Linked DNA regions of Callithrix jacchus. The protein of the gene in region 1 purifies or fractionates together with the protein of each later gene. This does not show direct contact. Links are inferred from orthologs where the notes say so. Each region holds a gene or a part of one and is shown on either strand. Other genes may lie near its edges.

The links. The genes of interacting proteins can lie anywhere in the genome.
Region 2: the proteins of NFKB2 (region 1) and NFKBIB purify together in Homo sapiens (affinity purification with mass spectrometry; 4 studies listed by BioGRID and IntAct, counting the BioPlex papers as one, with this or other methods). This does not show direct contact. The link is inferred for Callithrix jacchus from reciprocal best matches to the Homo sapiens genes NFKB2 and NFKBIB.

The regions. Positions count from the first base shown.
Region 1 is NC_133513.1:95,386,141-95,393,246, reverse strand, and holds the start of NFKB2 (nuclear factor NF-kappa-B p100 subunit), read right to left. Parts: upstream 4,380-7,106; 5' UTR 4,098-4,379; intron 3,925-4,097; exon of another isoform or gene 3,810-3,924; intron 3,054-3,809; 5' UTR 2,982-3,053; coding exon 2,961-2,981; intron 2,688-2,960; coding exon 2,606-2,687; intron 2,490-2,605; coding exon 2,449-2,489; intron 2,147-2,448; coding exon 2,048-2,146; intron 1,968-2,047; coding exon 1,816-1,967; intron 1,568-1,815; coding exon 1,461-1,567; intron 1,374-1,460; coding exon 1,215-1,373; intron 1,018-1,214; coding exon 817-1,017; intron 690-816; coding exon 604-689; intron 523-603; coding exon 384-522; intron 177-383; coding exon 48-176; intron 1-47. UniProt on the Homo sapiens protein: NF-kappa-B is a pleiotropic transcription factor present in almost all cell types and is the endpoint of a series of signal transduction events that are initiated by a vast array of stimuli related to many biological processes such as inflammation, immunity, differentiation, cell growth, tumorigenesis and apoptosis.
Region 2 is NC_133523.1:34,459,011-34,466,303, forward strand, and holds the start of NFKBIB (NF-kappa-B inhibitor beta), read left to right. Parts: upstream 1-3,382; 5' UTR 3,383-3,475; coding exon 3,476-3,654; intron 3,655-5,276; coding exon 5,277-5,382; intron 5,383-5,464; coding exon 5,465-5,798; intron 5,799-7,003; coding exon 7,004-7,092; intron 7,093-7,179; coding exon 7,180-7,293. Other genes in the region: SIRT2 (NAD-dependent protein deacetylase sirtuin-2), read right to left, coding at 1,825-1,871, 2,947-2,962. UniProt on the Homo sapiens protein: Inhibits NF-kappa-B by complexing with and trapping it in the cytoplasm.

The DNA.
Region 1 (7,106 bases):
CACAGCTTCTCTTACCTTTACCCCTCCCTCCATCAGCACTCCCTCACCTCCTCCTCCAGCTCCTCCATAGCCCCCGGCCGAGCCCCCAGAGCCTCCACCCATGTGGGAGCCGCCCCCAAAAGGCTGGGAGAAGGTGGGCAAGGCCTTCCTCCGCTTCCGCTGCACCTCTTCCTTGTCTGGGGACAGAGGAAAATGAGATTGAGCCCAATTATTGTATCATGCCTCAGGGGCCCTTCCCAGAAGAACCCTCAGGCTGGTTCCTAGGAAGCGCCCCCTGGGAGCTTCCACACTCCTGGCTTGGCTCATGCACTCCCACATCTAGACCCTCTTCTAGCCCAGCCTGGCCCCCCGCCATCCCCCAGGGGTCCTCAGCCCAGCTCCACCTTCCACCAGCGGGTAATAGGTGAACTGTTTGGAATCAGACACGTCCCCGCCTCGCTTGCGCTTTAGTTGCAGGAACACGGTTACAGGCCGCTCAATCTTCATCTTGTGATAGGGGGGTGTCCGGAACACAATGGCATACTGAGGGGTGCAGGGAGACACAGGGTGTCAGTGAGTCCTTAGCCTAATTCAGCCCCCAGCCGGGGCCCTAGCCCTGGGTACCTGTTTGTGCACATCTGTGGGAGAGAAGTCCCCAAAGGCCTGCCATCCATTCTCATCATCCTCATAGAACCGAACCTCAATGTCATCTACAAGGAAAATGGAGGCTTGGCCGCAGCTCCTGGTGCAAATCTCTGGGGCCATTTACCCAAGAGCTTCCCTGGCCTCAGTTGTCCACTGGATGTCCGTGGCGCCCAGCCTGGGCTCCAGTCTCACCTTTCTGCACCTTGTCACAAAGCAGGTAAACTTCATCTCCACCCCGAACAGAGCCTGCTGTTTTGTCCATTCGAGAAATCTTCAGGTTTGATGCCCCCGGAGACTCTGGGGTGGGATATGGATTAGCTGAGATGATGCCAAAGCCATGGCCACATTTAAGGAGCTGAGTGCTTTGTATTCGTTGTCTCAGCAACCCAGGTGCTGCAGGAACCACCCAATGTATGCATTTACTAAAAACAGAAGCTTCAGGAGGGAAAATGACTTGCTCAAGATCACTCGGCTCATATGTGACAGGGCCAGGTTCTGAAACCCAGGCCTATTTGACTCCACAGCTTGAGGTCACCCCTCATGCTACCTCTGCCACCAGGCCTGGCACCCTAGGCAGTCAGGATACTCACTGCTGTCATGGATGGGCTGGGAGATGACTGGCTTCAGGGGCAGAGAGAAGGAGCCATCACTGGCTCGAAGGAAGGCAGAGAAGCGCAGCCGGACGATACTCAGGTCCATCACCTTCTTCAGTTCTTTGGCCTCCTGCTCCAGCTCCCGCCGCTCAGCCTCTGGGCAGTGGGCACATGTGTGACACCTGGGCTTCTCTCTCCCTGCTCCTTCCATGAGCACCTCCCATGACCCGCCTGCACCCATACCTGTAAGGCCCTGGGGCCTGGAGCGGAGCCGCTGCCTCTGAAGTTTTTGTATCATAATCTCCATCATGTTCTTCTTGGTCACATGCAGGACACCCAAGTTGTTAAATCTGAGAAGGGGGAATCAGAGGCCTTGGCCCATGCAGCTCTTCCTTCCTGAGGCATCTTCCCCATTGCCAGGGCTCAGCTCAGCCTCTTCAAGGAAGCCATTGTAGATTTTACTTGGGCCCTTGGGTTTGGGGACCAACCTAAGGCTCTCCCCTTGGTAAGATGCTAAGCTCACAGAGGTGGGCTGGGGCCTAGGACTGGCAGGCAATGTGGGGCAATCCCATGGGGGTCAGGGGTAGAGGGCACTTACTGGGCAGTCATGTCCTTGGGCCCTACAGAAACGGCACAGACCCCCAGCTCCGAGCACTGCTTGCCCACCAGACTGTGGGCATGAGCACGAGGTGGGTCACTGTGTGTTACCAGGTCCACTTCGATCTTGGCTGGTCCCTCATAGTTACAGATCTAGGAGGGGCGGGGACTGTCAGTCATGGTCTTGGGTGTGCTGTCCACTCAGCCCACCCTCCAGCACCATCCTGGCTCACCTTGACAGTGGGATAGGTCTTCCGGCCCTTCTCACTGGAGGCACCAGGCAGCCCTCCATGGGAGGGGCCTTCACAGCCATATCGAAATCGGAAGCCTCTCTGAAGGTCCAAGGGCAGAGTGACATTCTGATCAGGGAAGACCCCTCCTCCACCAGCCAGCCATACCCTGGCCAGCAGTGACCACAGTGCCTGGTAGTATCTGCCCTGACCCACAACCACAGCCCAATGATCAGCAGCAGTGACCATCTAATCCCCTGTGGCCTCCTTGGACAAGGACCCCTCCATGTCCTTGTCCAAGGAGGCCACAGGGGATTAGATGGTCACTGCTTGCAGCTAGCTACAACTACCCCATTTGTCCCCAAAGCTGAAAGCATTCCACACTCTCCCTTTTGCTCACTCACCTGCTTAGGCTGTTCCACTATCACCAGGTAGGGGCCATCAGCTGGGGACAGAGAGACCTAGCTGAGCCACGATCTCCAAGCCCCTCCCCCAGGCAGAGGGCACATGCTCTCCCTCCCCCTTCCTTTAGGACTAGAGGAGGTTAGTGAACTTACTGACCTGTCTCTGGTGCTGGCTCCTTGGGTTCCACAATGGAGGAGTTCAATTTGAAATCATCATAGTCAATAATACCATCCAGACCCTGGTTTGGTGAGAGACTGGGGGTGGCATCTGACTCTCAGTGCCCCACGCCCCACCTCCCATCTCCAAGTCCTCAGTGGTCACTCGCCCCTCCTCCTCAGGCATAAGAGAAAGCTCCTTTTGGAAGCAGAGTTGCAGACAGATGGACAGACTGGCACCTGTGAGCATGCAGGTGTAAGGCAGCAGAGGGGGCTCCAGTAGACCGGTGGACAGACACGGGGGGGGGGGCGAGGGGGGGAAGCCGGCCGGGTCGGGGCCAGGCGGCGTGACTCACTGGGTTGTAGCAACTCTCCATGTCTCTGGGCTAGGCCCGGCTCTGTCTAGTGGCTCCGGCCAGGTTCTGCTTCCCAGAATTTTAGGCGCCAGCCTAAAGTTGGGAGGAGTGGTGGAGGGGAGGGGGTCAGATCTACAGTGGGGGTGGGCGGAAGATGGGGGCCCAGATTTGGGGGAGGGTCCGATCTCCTCCAGACGCCTGTCCGGGTGTGGCGGGTGAGATCCGGTGGAGAGTGAGATCCGGAGTTGGGCTTGGCCGGGGAAGGGGCAGGAAAGTTAGAGCAGCTTAGGAAAGTCCCGAAAATACCAGGGGGAGGCGGGGCCGGAGGGGGCGGGCCTGGAAATGACGCCACTTTCCCCGCCCTCACGACGGGAGGGGCTAGAGGTCCTCGCCGGTCAGTTGGTGCCCGCTGAAGAGCTGGGGGCAGAGGGCGAGGAGAATCCAGGAAGCTCCAGTGGGAGTTAAGCTCCCTCCTCCCTCCAGGAAAGGGAACAGGAGGGTCCTTCACAGCCTGGGGAGGCTGGCAGTCTGGGGCCAAGTCCGCTTCCCGCTCCCCTCCCATGGTCTGGAGCAACCTTGGGATTTTCTGTCATGAGGGAGGCTGATAAACCCCGGGGGCTTTTGGGGGGACATTCCTGAGGCCTCTTCGAACTGCCTGTAGGCGGGGGCTCTCCCGGGGGAGGCCCTGGGGTTCTGCCCCAAAAACGCGATTCTGGGGCCGCGGGAAAAGTGTCTCCTCCTTGGGATAGGCTCCTCTTTTCTTTCCCAAACCTCACAACAGCTGCTGGTCCCACACCGCACTGGCTCTGGGCGCGCAGGCAACAGCGAAACCTCTGCACGCTTCCCACCCAATACGAGCGTGTGTCTCCATCACAACTCTGCAAGTTTCAGCTGTAGTGCTTGGGTGCATGTTGTGTGTGCATGGCGTCAACATGAGTGTGCAAGCGAGCATATGTGTCCACAGGTGAGTCCCGAGATTCTCACTGTGGGTGCGGGTCAGCGCCTGTCTTAATGTACAGGCACAGGTGAGTGTATCTTGAGTTTGTGCATGGAGGGTGTGGGTGCAGGTACCAGTGCACTGGCGGGCGCGTCTCCGAGTGCATGTGTGTGCGCCAGCACAGGCGCAGGTGTACGTACGGGTCCGCGTGTCTTTGTACGAGGGTGTCGACGTGGATCCGAGTGTCGTCGCCTGCGCGTCCTCTCTGGATGTGTGCAGCTGCTGCTCTCCAGCCCCGGCGCTGTCCACTAAGGGCCCTCCTCCCGCTCTTCTCTTGTCCCGGCCACCCAGGGGTCTGAACCCAGCCACTCACCGTGGCGGCGGCAGCTCCGGTTCCGGCTTCTCTCCGCGCCCGACCCACCTGGGACCGACCAAGACACCTCGCCAGCCAACAGGGCTCGGGGCCGGGAAAGCCCCTTCTCGAACCCCCGAGGGGGAATTCCCATGACGTTTCCGTGTGTCATGCCCCATGCCCTTTTTCATTGGCTGAAAGTTTAACTCTGAGCTGGTGCAGCCAACCCGGAGCGACTCGGGCGTGCCCGGAGGGGTCGGGCTCGCTCAGGGCGAGGAGCTGGGTGACTGGCCACCAGGCGCAAGCACGGCCGGGGACCCCCGAGAAGGCACCCGCCGACCCAGCGCCACCCCGGGCAGGCCGGAGCTTCTGCTCCTGCTCAGCGTTCGCTGCGCCTGAAGCTTGGCTTTCTCTGAAGCTGGGGAACTCCAGGGGGAAGCCGGCGGCCCCTGCCCGGAGCGGCTAGCTGCCGGCTGCCGGGAAGTTAGCGCAAGAGGAAGGAAGTTGCTCTTGCGGTCGGTCCCGGCGGTGCCCTCTGGTGGCCTCCCTGGGGCCTTGAGGAGACTGAACGGCACGGACCCCTCTCGCTCGGTTTCATCAGCCTCAGGGCTCCCAGAGAGACAGTCCCAACCTTGGACACTTTAAAAGGTGGCAGGTTCCCAAAGGGCCACAACTCAGGAGCTCTGCGCAGGAGAAGGGAAATGAAGTGTTTATTCAGCACGGAGATCTGGATTATTAGAACTGAAAAGGCATCCGGAGTTTACACAGCTCAAACTTCCACTGCTGTGGGAAATTGCCTCTTGTTTTAGTGTCAGGCTGCAGTGCAGTGAGGCGATCTCGGCTCACTGCAACTTCCGCCTCCCAGGTTCAAATCATTCTCCTGCTGCAGACTCCCGAGTGGGCGCCCGCCACCATGCCTGGCTAATTTATATATTTTTAGTAGATTGGATTTTCCTTGTGGTTTCTCTCACCACGTTGGCCAGGCTGGTCTCGAACTCTGACCTCAGGTTATCCGCTGGCCTCCACCTTCCAGAATGCTGGGATTACAGTCGTGAGCCACCATGCACGGCCTATTTTATTTATTTATTTATTTATTTATTTATTTATTTATGTTTTGAGACAGGATCTTGCTCTATCACCCAGGCTGGGGTACAGTGGACTGATCATGGCTCACTGCAACCTTGAACTCCAGGGTCCAGCGATCCTCTCACCCTCCCGAGTAGCTGGGACTGCAGGTGCACACCATCACACCTGGTGAATTTTTAAATTTTTAGTAGAGATGGATCTCACTATGTTGCCCAGGCTGGTCTTAAACTCCTGGACTGAAGTGGTCCTATTTTGGCTCACAGACGTGAGCCACCGTCTCCTGCCACATTGCCTCTTATATACCTCCCAATTTCCACCTGAACACTTCTAGAGGCAGCAAGGTCAGGAGAGGAATTCACCAAACACTGAGTATGTAGATGGACCTCTCTGGTCAGCATGAGCCTTTAACTGTCTCTTAACTCTTTCCCATTCATGTTCTGACTCATTATAAAGATGAGGAGTAACACAGAAAACAGAAGTATCCCAATCACATTTCAGTTGCACTCTATATTCTAAACTCATTACTCAATCTCCCAACCATACGACAGTTTGTCGGAGGTTATTAATCTGATTAGCTATGTTCTGATCTATTTTAGTTTGAGAATTCCACAGCAGAGCAGAATTTTCTCCCATGTATTTACATAGTCTGCTGGTCTGCTGTTTGCACTGTTGAACGTAAAGCAACTCCAGCTACTGCAGCAGTAGCTGGGACAGCAATCGGTCCCATAATGATTAAAGTAGCAATGAAACACCAAGAGTGCCTCAAGATCTTTTGAAGAATTTCAGTAATAATAGGCACAGAAGGAGAGGACTCCCAAGGATGGGAAAGCTTCACAGATATCCATACTCCTTCTTGGGCTCTTACCACTAAAATGGAATAATCAGTATTATACAAGGAAGAATTCACACAAGAAAACAATCTACATTCTTGACAAATCAAGTCACATGATTATTAGGGAGATCAAGTTTTAAATCGCCCATCACAAGCAGGAAAGGGGGTGGATGCAACTCTATATCCAGACTGTATAATTGTGAACCAATTCTAACATGTAATTAAAATTATATTGGGTTGGCTTAGTGTGTTTTCCTTCCCAAATCTTTACCTTTTTCAGTGCCATTAATATTTTCCATAACTCCTTATGTTTGGCTTCTACAACTGGCCATATCATTTGAAGTTGAGGTTCCACTATACCACCATTATGCCCAGATAATAGGAACTTTTGCTGTACTTCTTATGGTTTCCACCCTCTGATCATTTTGTTTAGATGCAGGGTGACCAATACCTACAGACTGAGAGGTGGGCCTCATAAATGCCTCTTTAGGGGACCAGTCAATAATGACTCCATATGAATCACTATGCAACACCTCTGCCTGCCCTGTGATACAGTCTTCCCAGGAAAATACATTCATTTTTTCAGACCATGTCCAATCCACTTTACAGATAGGTTTTTGAGGGTGGTAAACTTTGATTACAGGAGCATAATCATTATAATAAATACTAGGACCAGAAAGCATATGTAATTGTGCCACAGAGTGATGACATTCAAGCACTATCACCAGCCAAGACTGATGGCTGGGAAGTAGGCAACTGTTGGCTTTTCCCAAGCAAATAAATAGATGCTCAAATCCCAAGGAGATATTCATAACTGTTCTCTCCTCTTGAAGGCGAGACGGGCCCCAGTTATCTATAGGTTCTGGCATCCATGAGCTGTTATTAGTATATACATCTACTAACTTGTGGGATCTAGTCAAGTCATATGTCGCAATAAAG
Region 2 (7,293 bases), on another chromosome or scaffold:
CTCTTTCAGGCTGTACACAGTGAGGCTCTGTGGAGGGCCTGTGCCCAGCATGTCCCTGCAGCTTGGCCTAAGGGAGAGCTGGAGGTGCTGGCAGGTGCCTTCAGGCTCCCATGAGACTGCCTGCCCACCTCTCCTGGCAGCTGCTGGCAGGCAGTGCACCCAGTGCTGGGGGACTCAAACTCTTCCTTTTTTTATTTTTATTTTTATTTTTTTGAGACAGAGTCTCTTTCTGCCACCAGGTACCAGGCTGGAATGCAGTGGAGCGATCTTGGCACACTGCAACCTCCGCCTCCCAGGTTCAAGCAATTCTCCTGCCTCACAGCTTCTTGAGTAGCTGGGACTACAAGCTTTGTATTTTTCAGTAGAGACGGGGTTTCACCATGTGGGCCAGGATGGTCACAATCTCTTGACCTCAAGTGATCTGCCCGCCTTGGCCTCCCAAAGTGCTGGGATTACAGGCGTGAGCCACCATGCCCGGTCTCAAACCCTTCCTTACTCCTGTCACCTAGGGACAGAGGATAAGTGACTTAACAACTCTGCCTCAAATTCTGCAACTGTAAAATGGCCATGATAGGCATTTCTCTTCACAGGGATGCCAGGAAGATGAAATGAGATGAGGCACATTTGTCACTAAACAGTGCCCAGCCTAAGTAAGCTGTCAGTCAACGCTAACCACGACTATCACAAGCTGACCACCACCAGCTGCCCAATTACGGAACACACCATTACACTCCTTCATGCCCCCAGGTCAGGTCTTTGCACAAGCTGTACCTGCTGTGTGAACCACCATTTCTCACCTTGTCTAAGAAAATTCTAAGTCACTCTTCACTTATGCTGTGTCTGATGGCTAGACCAGCCTGCAGACTCCTCCAGGGACTGGTCTGGCTGGAATCTTCTTTGACCCAGAAACTTTTCTCTGTGCTCCCACAGTGCCCTGAGTTTCTTTCTTTTTATTCCTTTTTTTTTTTTTTTTGAGACAGGGTCTTGCTCTGTCACCCAGGTTGGAGTGTAATGTCACAATCATGGCACACCACGGCCTCAACCTCCTGGGCTTAAGCAATCCTCCCCCCACTCAGCCTCCTGAGTAGCTGGCACTACAGGCATGAAACACTACACATGGCTAATTTCTAAATTTTTTATAGAGATGGGGGCCACCTATGTTGGCCAGACTGGTCTGAAACTCCCGGGCTCAAGCGATCCTCCTACCCTAGCCTCGCAAAGTAATGGAATTACAAGCATGAGCCACTGTGTCGGGCCCTGAGTTACTTTCTTTCTTTCTTTTTTACTTCTTAGAGAAAGGGTCTTGCTCTTTTACCCAGGGTGGAGTGTCACTATGCAATCATAGCTCACTGCAGCCTCAAACTCCTGGACTCAAGTGACCCTCATGCCTTAGCCTCCTGAGTTATTAGGATTACAGGTATAAGCCACTGCACCTGCCTCCCCCGCCCGTACCCTGAGTTCCTTTCATCATCAGGCTGTCGGATCATTTTTCCCATTACTTGTCCATGAGATCTGTGTGTTCCAAGACCAAATGGGACACCTGTCTCTTCCAGGCCCAGGACAAATTTGGTTTAGAAGGGATGGGAGGCAGTGGCAAGGAAGGAGGAGAGTTTGGGAGGGCAAGCCTGGACTCGAGACTGCAAACTCTTCTGTGACAATCCCCAGAATCTGCCTGTCCCCATAAAGCTGCCCTGGGTGGCGTGAGGATTGGGACAATGAGCCAAGGGCCCTGGGGTGACTGTCTCTCCTTTGCCACCTCCCCCCAGCATGGGATGTGGAACAAGTCCATGTCTCTCCTCCCCTCCACCATTTCCCCCATCTCACCTGAGCCTCCTGCACCTTCCCTGCCTGGGTCTCCAGAGGGTGAGAGGCTGGGGGAGGGGAGCAGAGGTGGTTACAGTAGGGAGAACGATTAAGGGGGGAACACAAGGGTTCAAATTGTCAGTGAGGGGGCAAGAACACCCACCAACCTAGTTACACTGGGACGGGGTGGTGGTAAAATTGGAGCAGAGGGAAAGAGGGGATGGGAGAAAATATCTTATCCGCATGCAAAGTGGTGCCCGGGGAGGTGATTAGTGAGGGGCAGAGAGGCTGGGGAGGAAGATTTAGGAGGACAGGGAGAAGTAGGGGCTTTTGCCCAGGCTGGTCTTGAACTCCTGGGCTCAATCGATCCAACCACCTTGGCCTCCCAAAGTACTGGGATTACAGGCATGAGCCATTGTGTCTGGCCCTGACTTTCTTTGTCTTTTACTTTTTAGAGAAAGGGCCTGGCTCATGTCACCCAGGCTGGAGTGCAATGGTGCGATCATAGCTCACTGCAGCCTCAAACTCCTGGGCTCAAGCGATCCTCCTTCCTCCTGCCTAGGGGATTCAGGGCATGAAGGAACACTCAGGAGGAGTTAGGAAGGACGCAGCAGTGTGAGTGTGTGTGCGGGAGGGTTAGGTTTACAAGGCAGAGGGAAGTTTAGAAAGGAAGGGAGAAGGGAGGGGACGCTTCGGCTGGGAGGCAGGTCTGGGAGGGAGGTGCAGTGGTGCAGTGGAGGCGGTAGGTTTGGGAGAGGCGCGGATACGAAGGGAAGCCATAGGAGGGGACAACAGGGGTCCCTCAGCATCCTCCGGTTGCCTCTAACAATTAGGTACCCTTAGCAACAGGGACCGCGGCAACTTAGGTTCTTTGCAGCGAGGGTCCTCAGCAACCAAGATACGAAAAACACGCCATTATTGGCAACTTGGCAAGCGGATGTGATAAACCAACCCCGAACAACCTGCGACCCAGAAACCCACCAGCCTAGCGATACAGATCGCTTAGCAACAACCCTCAGAATCCCACTATCCGAAGCGCTCCCTACTTCCCGCCCCGCAGCGGCCGCCCTCGGGCCCCGGGGCCTGCAGCCTTCAGCTAGGCCCCGGCGCGGCCCGACCCTCCCACCCGGGTCCCCGACTCACGGTCTGGCTCTGCCATGGGCACGGTGCTGAAGCCCTCGTGGCTGTCACCGATCGCTCTGTCCCGTCACCAACCACTGTGTCCCGTCACCGACTGCTCTGTCCTGTCACCGACTGCTCTGTCCCGTGACGGCACCAGAAATGGGAGTGGCCGGGATAGGGCTTAGAACTACAACTCCCAGTAGCCATTGCGGCAGAAGCCGCGCTTTCGTACGACAGCCAGAGCGCCCCAGACTTAGGTAAGAAAGCGCGCTAGGGCCGGACTTCGAGTCCCAGAAGGCGCGGCGTCAGCAGCCATGTTGGTAAAGGGCGCCCGGAAAATGTAAAAACGGCTAGTGAGTCGTAGTCCTCCCAAATACTCTGATTGGTCACGATATGGTACCAGGGTAGGGCGCGAGCGATTCAGCATATTATCATTGGATGAATTAGGGGGCGTGGTGGGGAATTTCCCGCAGGGCGGAAGCGCCAGAACTGCCGGCAAAGCCCAGCTCCAGGCAAGCGACTGCGGGGGGCCCCTGAGGTGGCGGGGGCCATGGCTGGGGTCGCGTGCTTGGGAAAAGCTGCCGACGCAGATGAATGGTGCGACAGCGGCCTGGGCTCCCTGGGTCCGGACGCAGCGGCCCCCGGAGGACCGGGCTTGGTCGCAGAGCTGGGCCCGGGGCTGTCGTGGGCGCCCCTTGTCTTCGGCTACGTCACTGAGGATGGGGACACGTGAGTGAACCTTAGGTTGCCAAACGGAGCCCTAGGACCCGGCGTCTGATTCCCCATTAGTTTCTGATCCCTGAGGCTTCCTAACCTCCTACTCCTAAATCTGATTTCCGATGCTGAACTTCCTGACCTGTAACCCCTGAGTCCTAACTTTTAACAAAACCAATCTTCTATCCAGCTGTGATGCTAACCCAATCATTTCAGACCTTCCTTTCTTGAACTATGATTCTCAGCTCCTGGAATCCACATTCTGTCCACGGATACCCAAACCCGACTCCAGTCCTGAGGCTTTTGTTAGAACTGTGGCTTCTCCTGACTTCGAACCTCCAAATATAATCTTTGATTCTTAGTTCCTGATGTGAGCCTTAGACTGATTTCCGAAATTAATACTTGGTCCCTGACTCTAAGATCTTGTTTTCTGAGCAGTGTTCTTCAAGTCTTAAAAGAGTGAGAATGTAAGTTCTCCTATGTTGAATTCCTAATTGAAGTAGAAAAATAGAAAAAGAAAAAAGAATGTAAGCTCCATGAAACCAAGGATTCATCTGTTGAACAAATATTCTTTACATATTACCACATTCCAGGCTTCGTTTTAGGTGCTAGTGATAAAGGCAGTGAAGAAAACAGACAAAAAACTAAAGCCCTTGTGAAGGAGACGTTTTATTTTAGTGGGGCTAAACAGATTGATAAGACAGCAAGGAAGGAAAGAAACAGAAAGACAGAAAGAAACAAAGACATGCAGAAAGAAAGACACAGAAAGTAAGAGAAGGAAAGAAAGTCACAGGTTGTCAGTACTTTGGAGAAAAATAAAGCAGGAAAATGAGGCAATAGATAAACAAGATAAGAGCATTTCAGGCAGAAGGAACTGCAATTGCAAAGGCCCAGATGAGGGACTGTACTGGGTTTTTTTGTCTGTTGTGTTTACTGCCCTATGCCCAGTGATGCAGGCAGTGCCTGTCCCAGGAAGCAGTTAATAAATACTGATCTTACCAAAGAACCAGCTTTAGGTTTATTAATTTTTGTTAATTAATTTGGTTTCATTAATTTTATTTTAGTTTTCAATTGGTCTTTGATTCTTAGCTCACTCCAAAGTGTGAGCTACTGCGCCTGGCCAACAACTCTGTCCTGTGACTCTTGCAAGCCTGGTCTCTACAGACTCTTCCTCCATGTCCATCTCCTGACCTCAGACAACCTGATGGGCTCTGCTTGGGGTCCCCTCTCTCAACCGTGGCTCTCAAGACCATAAGCTGTGGCAGTCAAGTGTAGGGCCCACCTCATGTTTCCTGTCTTTCGGGGGCCACTGTGATTCATTGCATGACGTCCAGCGTCTTCAACACTGTTGCTTCATATACCGTATTGCGTCTGATTTTTCTTTGTTTCTTGTGGGAGGGAAGTCTGGTCCATGTTACTTCATTTTGGGCAGAAGTGGAAATCCCACTGAATAAACATTGTTGGTTCCACAAATTTGCTGATGAAACTCTGACCTCTCTGACCCTCCCAGATAGCTGACAGTGGGTTCCAGAACTGTGGTCCCAAAGCCTAGCATACAGTAGCCACCCCATGTTTGTTGAATGAAGGAATGCAAGAGGACTTGAATTTTGCCCTCTGACCCCAGTCTTTGTCCCCAGGGCACTGCATTTGGCTGTGATTCATCAGCACGAACCCTTCCTGGATTTTCTTCTAGGCTTCTCAGCCGGCACTGAGTACATGGACCTGCAGAATGACCTAGGCCAGGTGAGCCACGAGGGGATGGAGTAGGGGTTGGGGTCTGGGGTTCCCAGTGTGACTCCCTACTGCCTGTCCTCTGCTTCTGCAGACGGCCCTGCACCTGGCAGCCATCCTGGGGGAGGCATCCACGGTGGAGAAGCTGTATGCAGCAGGCGCTGGGCTGTGCGTGGCAGAGCGTGGGGGCCACACGGCGCTACACCTGGCCTGCCGTGTGGGGGCACTTGCCTGTGCCCGTGCCCTGCTTCAGCCCCGCCCTCGGCGGCCCAGGGAAGCCCCGGACACCTACCTCGCTCATGGCCCAGACCACAATCCCGACACCAACCATACCCCTGTCACCTTGTACCCCGATTCTGACTTGGAGAAGGAAGAAGAGGAGAGTGAGGAGGAGTGGAAGCTACAGCTGGAGGCTGAAAACTATGAGGGTGAGGGTCGCCACCAGGGAAGGACTGAGCTCCCAGGCTAGGTGAGAGCACCTGGCCCTGGGCTCTCTTCCCTGATTCCAGACCGAACTCCTTGGGAAATCACGCCTAGGCTTCAGGAACCCAGGCATCGGGACCAGGGACCTCCACTCAGGGCCCAGATGATTGACAATTGGATATGTAAGACCCAGGATTCCCACTTGGAGGCCCCAGATCACTTGGGACGCAGACCTGGCACTCATAGACCCAGAGCTGCCAGGATCCAGTTGCTGGGCCCTTGGGCTCCCCACCTGCAGGGTGTATTCAAGCTGGTATCCCTACCCCACCTAGGACCAGGGAATGCAGAGCTCAGGCCCTCTGGGAAACTCTGGCACCCCAGGTTCCCAGTGATGGGCAGCAGGGACAGCCCTCCTCTGCCTCATGGGAAAAAGGAGTCACCTGCCCACAGCCTGGCATCCAAGTTTCTGCTCCCTCACCTATAAGCCTGCCCACCTGGTACCAGACCCCTCCTCAGATGGACTGAGGTCGTTCAGGACCCATTGTTAAGGGCCTGCATCTCACCCCCAGATCACAGGCTTTTCAGCCACTTGGTAGCCCCCCCTTTTTTTTTTTTTTTTTTTTTTTTTTTTGAGTCGGAGTCCCACTCTCCACCAGGCTGGAGTGCAGTGGTGTGATTTCAGCTCACTGCACCCTCCACCTCCTGGGTTCAAGCAATTCTCCTGCCTCAGCCTCCGGAGTAGCTGGGACTATAGGTGCCTGCCACCACACCCGGCTAATTTGTGGATTTACTAGAGATGGAGTTTCACCATGTTGGCCAGGATGGTCTCGATCTCCTGACCTTGTGATCTGCCTGCTTTGGCCTCTCAAAGTGTTGGGATTACAGGCATGAGCCAGCGCACCAGCTCAGGTCCTTTGTGAATTAAGAGCAGAGACTTAGGTCTCCTGGCCCCAACATCCCAGCCCCCCATCCACAGACCCCAGGCTCTTCACCCATGAGCCCCAGGCTTCTCAAAGCCCAGGCTCTAGCACTTGCCGGCAAGCTAAGGCCATCCGACACACACATTTAGGACCCAGGTACCTCTTTGACATACCCAAAGGTTCAGGAACCAGCCCCACACCTGATCACCCTCAGGCCACGTGGTCCTCCCCCAGGATCAAAGCATGGGGGACCCCTCACCCCATCATCTGATGCGTCACTCTGTCCCCAGGCCACACCCCACTCCACGTGGCTGTTATCCACAAAGATGCAGAGATGGTCCAGCTGCTCCGAGATGCCGGAGCTGACCTCAACAAACCGGTGAGCACCACCCTGGGGGAAGCTGCTGTCGTCAGGAGGGGGCTGGTCCCCTCCTTGGGCCCTCTGACCCTTCTGCTGCACCCACAGGAGCCCACGTGTGGCCGGAGCCCCCTGCACTTGGCAGTGGAGGCCCAGGCGGCCGATGTACTAGAGCTTCTCCTGAGGGCAGGTGCCAACCCTGCTGCCCACATGTACGGTGGC